2 linked regions of the Mytilus edulis genome follow. The protein of the gene in region 2 interacts with the protein of the main gene of each other region in a pairwise test. Links are inferred from orthologs where the notes say so. Each region holds a gene or a part of one and is shown on either strand. Other genes may lie near its edges.

Region 1 (3,762 bases), on a different chromosome or scaffold from region 2:
TTATTTTAGAAAAAATAATGTATTTTGTACAAACCAGGTGCCAATCTGAAATTAATCAAAATCCGTAAAAATTTCATCACACGAAACACCAACCTTACACTTTTTACTAGTAATTTTTTGTACTGAAAAGTATTTAATAACTTTTTTTAAGATTTAAGCGATCACCCGAACCACGACTTTAGAAAAAATGTATTTCCGGATTTTGTAGTCATTTCCTGTCCGTGTACTGATCCAATTTTTATTTCATACGAAAACATATGACGCCGTTTTTTTGACATACAAAAATCGCAAAGTAATCGGAAACAGTAAAAAATCGTAGAAATCATTGACAAAAAAACTAGATACCTAAAATCAATCTACAGGACATGCTTTTTAAATTTGAGTAAACACCTAAATAAAAACTCAACAGTAAAAACCGTAAGCAGTGAAAATTGTTATTAGTACGAAAACACATTACACGATGATATACGTCATGAAGGTACCCCCATTACTACCCTCATAAATGTTTCAACAGTTCAAAAACAGAGCAAAATGAAATTGCTCATCCTCATTCCTGTGGGAAGCAGGACAAATCGCCACACTAGCAAAACGCCCAACACCAAATCGCCACACTTTTTCACAAACTCGCGATTTGCCAGTGGGGCGATTTGTCATGGATTCATTCATGTGTACTGTTCCTATGACTTAAGGCATTAATTACTTGTTGTCCTAATGACTCAACAGTTTCTTTTATATTTTTATGAACATCTTTTAAATCTGATAGAGTCTTTATATTTTGGTTCAAGTATTCTGTAACGTGGACATTCTTCTCTGATTTTGCCATCTGTGAAGAAAGGGATTGTTTACATAGTTGCTTCCCTTAGAAAAAAATAGTTGACATACATCGTACAAACGCTTGACGCGAAGGTGTTAGATTAATGTAAAGCGTCTAATTGATCTGTTCACGTGACATAGTTTTTCCAGCGGTAAGTTTCGTGAAATGAGAAAGGATTTTTCTTTAAAACCATTTACTCTTTTGAATGACACATAAAACTGTAAAAGTACCCTCACATATTTGTACGATTTTATATATACAACTGTTATCTTTGAATAGATTCTATTTTTTCGTGTTATCTTCGTTAAAACAAGAAAATCATGAATGGTTCTTTGCCTAAATGGAAACAGGATATCCAAGTTATTCTTTCTAATCCGTGGAGTAACTATTTCAATGACATGCTATTGAAAACAAAGCTGAATGATAAACATTTGAATTACCACAACCCCTTCAGACTAAATCCCTTTTTCCTGGTTAAGGCCCCATCCTGCATCCCAGACTCAAATTGTTCAATGATTGTTAATAATTTTAACCTTATCAATTGGGTTTTATTGTAAATACTGTATGTAACCAAAGGGGACTAGATTTGTAATGTGACCATAGGTAGGCCCACAGAGTTTAAGCTTACTGTAGACTGTTAGAAACAAAACTCAATTATAAGGAAGAAGATTCTTATTAGACTACCGACTAGTCTATTTTTATAGACCAAATAATTTACTTCTCTGAGTTACTTAATCTTTTGACAAGATAACTAAGAAGTGACTAGTCTGTGTGACTTTTTCCCAAAATTGAAACTGTAATTTGAAGTAAAATCATGCTTCCAATTTGCTGTTGGTAAAAAAATCAATTGTTTTCCAATAATTTTGTCATATAAAAAAGAAATTACTGTTACAATGTAGTTTAATTTTTCACCAAAGTGTCATCCAAAGAAATGGAATCATGAGACATTAATTTTTTGCACACAGCACCAGTGACCTATACTGCTATCCCTGCTCTGGGGTGGATCCAGCCATTTTGAACATTTCATTGTTGTAAAAACATCTAAAGGGCACCTGCCACCCTCACTGGTAGAGATATAAAAGGCTGATTATTGTTATATAAACAAATTTTGTGTTATAATCTTAATAGTTAAGGATGTAAATGTAAATGTAATTATGCTTAAATTGTATAAACACATACATGTATTAGTAATTGACAAAACTTGTCAAGGTCATTTTTGCTGAAAAGTAAAGTTTTACAAAATCATAAACAGTTTGACTTAGCTTTAACATTTGTGATTAAAGGGAGTACTGACTGGTACCTTTCCAAAATTGCATCCCTATTTTTGAAGATGTTTTTGAAGGAATTTATATAGATTTCCAACATGTCCAAAAATAAAAGGAAAACAATTTTGTTTTGTACCCTGCAATATAAACATTATATTGAATAGCTGGAGGCATGTTAAAAAAAAATGAGACACTATTTTTGTGAATGGTGATAATTAAAGCCATTGCTTTAATTAATAAACCAATTATTATAAACATTTGACTTGAATATTTTTTTCTTCATTCAAGTTGTATTATTTGGCAGCTAATGAGTTATATTTTACTAATTGATCATGATATAAAACATTATCCAAAACTTTAGAAAAAGTAATGTTTATACTTAAAAGAGGTTTATAAAGAAGAATTAAAATCCATTTTGGAGTTTCTAAGTATTTAATCTTTTAAGACTTTGTTGGAGTAATAAAAGTCAGACTCTAATATAAGTATCTCATACCTTTACTTTTTAAATTAGAGACGCATGTTAGGGTTCCTGTTGAAGGTGGTTGATATTTGAAGAGAAAAAAGGTAGAGTTTGCTTTAGATGTTCTATTTTAATATATGGTTAAAAAGAAACAAAAAGGGCATTTTCTTTTAATTTAAACTTTCATTTTCTTTCGTTGAATAAAAATTTCTATAAAAAAAAAAATTGTACAGATAAATAACGATAATATTTATTTAAAACTATTCCATTTCTTCAATAATTTATAACTGCAAATAGAATTACTTTTAATCTTATGGACTACACATAATAATTTCAAAGGAGAAATAAACAAATATACTAAATTGTTTTAACAGTAGACATGTAGAAATAGGAATAAAAATAAAATAAAATAAAGAAATACAAAAGGACCTTTTAGGAGTGAAACTGGGTAACTATTTATAGAGACTGAATGATATTCTTTGGCTTTATATTAATTAAAACCTTGTGGTAAAACAATACAATTTGTTTTATGTTTGATGTTGCATATAAGTTATTTATTAATGACTACCTGTATGTGGTTGGTTAGAATACATTTCTCAAAATAAGGTTTAGGGCTTTTCAAGTGTTTACAATTTGATCACCTGTTTAAAGTATACAAATTTCTAAAACAGTGCCCTCAAAATGGAACATCCTGTGGTTGGCTCCTATTTTGCATGTTGTAATGTTTTCTTTCATAAATTACTTGAAACACAAATTTGCTCAAACTAATGGTAGTCTACATATAGTTATGTTTAGGATCTATAGATGTTTTCTACATGTACAATGTATTATGTTTATGAGGAATGATTTACACATCTTTATATTATAATTCTCCGATCTTTCAAACCAAACAGGCAATTATGTTCAGGTGCATTTCTTTTAGTAGAAAAGCTACTTGTTTATTTATGTCTTCTTTTGATGAGTGAACAAACTTATTACTGTGACTTGAACGAATAGCAATTTGTTTTATCAAATCAAACTTCAACTTGTTAGAAATTTTTTCCAACTGCTAATGGGAAATACAGTTCAGTGGCCAAAGAACAAAGCTGCCAAATTCAACCGAAAAGACTAAAGAAAATTTGTTCTCTGTTGACCATTCAAATTCATGATTTACCTACATCCACAACATGAAGGAAAATTTGTAATTCATGTAACCAATTTCAATATTTATCAATAAATTTGTA
Region 2 (3,762 bases):
ATTGAAATGTTAGTTGTATTTTATGATAATACATAACATATATAAAGGTTGAGGATGAACACGGATGCGGCCACTTTCATTTTTACCAAAAACCATCTGAAAAGTGACATTTTTCGGCATATTAGGTAGATTTTTCATATTTGAGCTTGAATCGGATCGTTTTTAATGACTAAATCTGTTAAAATCTTTCACATAAACTAAATAATTCAAATAAAATAGACATTTTAAAAGTGTTTAAAAAGTGGTCAAAATCTTTCGTCAGATGAACCTGAAATTTGAAGGCCAAAATCGGTCCTTACCGGACCTACTCCTTTATAAGATTAAAACTTATAATTATCAGAGACACATAATACTATATTATATGTCTCTGTAATTATTAATACTTTTACAAGTGCAGATTATTTCAGTTTGCTTGATTTTTTTATGTTTTTAAATTAGCATTTTAATGGGAGATAACTCTGAAATAGTGCATTTTCTGAAGGAATCTACATGAAACGTGCTAGTTTGTATTTTAACTGGAAAAAAACGCACGGTGACCCAATCTTTTCTTTTGATATCATCAAAGCATTTCCTTAAAGCTATCTTCTCGTATTTTATTTTACAATTTTAGTTATCATTCAGTTCAGCTCCTATAATCACATAATGATTTTTTTCCTGTTTAATCTGTGAAAAAAAATGTGTCATTTTGTCACAACCTGTAGCCTGAAGAAATCGTGATAAACTATCATTTTCACAATATTTTTGAATATATGTCAATATATATATACTACGTTTTGGCAAAGTATATGAACAAATTTATTCTATCATTTTTAATTTAGACTCCCATACCACCTTAACATTTTCTTACAACACTTTTTGTTTTTGGTGGGGTTCGTGTTGCTTATTCTTTAGTTTTCTATGTTGTGTCATGTGTACTATTGTTTGTCTGTTTGTCTTTTTCATTTTTAGCCGTGGAGTTGTCATTTTATTTTCGATTTATGAGTTTGATCAGAGACATATATACACATGTGTATATATGTCTCTGGTTTGATATCTTTGGTATCTTTCGTCCCTCTTTTACTCTAGTAAATATAGAAGTATCATTTGCGGTCACTTGCGTTTCATGATCGATGTAGCCTTTCGTGTGCAAGTCAAAAACTCTGTTTTTCAAAATGTGGTGACTCAGTTTTTAAAATAAATATTGTGACAAGGGAGACAAATCTACCAGCCGTTTTGGTCTATATTGTATTTTTGGTAGTTAGTTTTAAAGAAAGAGGAAATGACGTATTATTGTGGCGGGACGTCTGATTTTAGATTTGTAAACATTGGTGGAAAACTTTTACAAATGACTAAATAGTTTAACTAAAACACAGAGAATTAAACTTCGACCTCTTATAAGATATTACTTTTTAATTTAAAGATAAGCTAGACAAGAAGAAGCGTGTTGCATTAAGTGTACAGGCGACAGCCAGTAAATTTTCAGTGAGTGGCACTTTATTTTCAGATTTGGGTAGACGCAATACTCTATAGTTGAACACACAAACATACGCAAGATATGGTGAATATATAATTTTTCGAAATTAGTAAAATTCTCTTAGTTAAAAGGGATAAGAAAGAATGGCAAGAATTACCAAAAATAAAACAAGGATTTGATCTAATCCTATACAAATCCTTGATTAAAACAACTGATAGATTTATCTCCCTTGTCACAATATTTATTAAAAAAATGTAACTGCATGAATTTGTGATGAATTATTTCTTCTCTTGTTAAAACCAAATTTTGAAAAACAATAGACCACTTTCAAGTTCATCCGTCACCGGAAAAAACTGGTCAATAGTGCTCTTTACGGTTAGTTCGGCCATATTGGATAGGGGGCAGATTTTCATAATAGAGGTAAAAATGGTGTGAAAAATACGGGAAAACATCATTAAAACAGAGCTGTTGCTTGGAAACACACATAGGATTTCCCACACTTTCATACCATTTCCACCTCCTTCCAAAAAATCTGCCCCCTATCCAATATGGCCGAACTAACCGTGAAGAGCCCTATTATGCTCGCCTTTATGACGTCATTAACCAGATAGAGGGGATCGCCTGTATCCCTGCACTATTTACGTTCATCAAGCGTCTTAGTGATCGTCATTGTACAGGATAAACTAGAAATAATGGTTGTTCTGTAGGTACTTAATGACAATTCCCTAATGACAGCAGTGCTGATTTTCAATTTTGAGAATTCAATTTGCCAAATTATGAATAATTCGTACATAAATGAATATAGAATTATCCAACCACTCGCTCAACATTGGAATGGAAGTGACGACGCCCCTAAACGCACAAATGATGTTCACTAAAACCAGAGTTTTTGACGGAAATGCATCGAACTCGAAAGTTGTCAATTACTTTGTTATTGGTCAGAGCTATATTTCAATGACTATTTAATAGAGCAGAAATATCTGGAAGTCACAGACAAAATAGTATTAGTGCTATTTAAAATAACTGCTTGACATTTTTCAAACCCCTGTCTTTATTCTTATGTACAGATTCAACCCTATCATAAGAAGTAGATTAATTTTATCTTTAAAAACAGTTATCAAAGCAGTCCGAGACATATGAAATTTATCAACATATAAAATTTTGCATATTCATTCCTTACCTCAGTGTACATGTACAATGTACTGATCATGACATTTGTATATTTTATGCCCAACAAATGCACAAATGACGTTAGATAACATCACCTACAACAAAACACTTTGACGGAACAATAACAATTGGAACAAGGGCATTCACAGGAGTACCCGCACAACATCAAATCTGGTATCAGCTGTCTTCATAAAAAGTTGAATTTTCAATAACACAAAATGCTTTATTTTCAGTGCCAGTCGTTTTTTTGCCAGGAATATATTAAGTCTGTTTTAAATGTAATTTATATCGAAAAATTGCATTGAAAGCAATCTCACATTTCTTGTAGGATTTATATGAAATTTTATGATAACTTCACCATGTTTACTTTTTTATAACATTTTTTTTTATCAAGTTGTATTGAACATTATCATCATACATTGTACTTGACTTTTATACAAATTTATGCCATGTATATGTTTGCATTTTTGTATATGCCTTTCTATGGTGAGGGCCTCAGGAAAGATTAGTTTTATAGCTAACTGTGTAACCCTTAAAGTCTTAAAATAAAGTATTGTTGTTATTGTACATGTAGGTCCATAATCAGCAAAATTAATGGATATATGCAAATTGGAAATAATAAAAAAAGATTTGTTTTAGCGAATGGTATTGATAGAAGTGAAATAAAATTGAGAATGGAAATGGGGAATGTGTCAAAGAGACAACAACCCGCCCAAATAAAAAACAACAGCAGAGGGTCACCAACAGGTCTTCAATGTAGCGAGAAATTCCCGCACCCGGAGGCGTCCTTCAGCTGGCCCCTAAACAAATATATACTAGTCCAGTGATAATGAAATGTCCACATTTATATTTTGAATCTTTGTTAGAATTCAATTTAAGTTCTATTTTGTATTATTTTTGATTTTGCCATTATTGACAATGGGTTTTTGTCTGATTTCCCATTACTATAACGTGTTTTAACTTCATGAATGTTTTATTTTAAATTAATTAATTATATAAAATAGCTTTGTCTTTTTGAATAGGATCTTTATCATCTTTACGTTTAACATGGCAATGCAACAATCTCGTCAACAAGCCTCAGCACAAGCAGAAGAAACTGAAGAAACCTTTGGACCATTGCCCTTAAAGCAATTAGAGGT

What was found. The genes of interacting proteins can lie anywhere in the genome.
Region 1: the proteins of DNA repair protein RAD51 homolog 1 (region 2) and SUMO-conjugating enzyme UBC9-B interact in a two-hybrid assay, tested with the Caenorhabditis elegans proteins (2 studies listed by BioGRID). The link is inferred for Mytilus edulis from reciprocal best matches to the Caenorhabditis elegans genes rad-51 and ubc-9.

The regions. Positions count from the first base shown.
Region 1 is NC_092352.1:32,417,492-32,421,253, reverse strand, and holds the start of SUMO-conjugating enzyme UBC9-B, read left to right. Parts: upstream 1-892; 5' UTR 893-965; exon of another isoform or gene 966-1,056; intron 1,057-2,594; exon of another isoform or gene 2,595-2,643; intron 2,644-3,762. Other genes in the region: RAD50-interacting protein 1-like, read right to left, coding at 701-823. UniProt on the Caenorhabditis elegans protein: Accepts the ubiquitin-like protein smo-1 from the aos-1-uba-2 E1 complex and catalyzes its covalent attachment to other proteins with the help of an E3 ligase such as gei-17.
Region 2 is NC_092346.1:57,670,893-57,674,654, forward strand, and holds the start of DNA repair protein RAD51 homolog 1, read left to right. Parts: upstream 1-1,253; 5' UTR 1,254-1,461; intron 1,462-3,645; 5' UTR 3,646-3,670; coding exon 3,671-3,760; intron 3,761-3,762.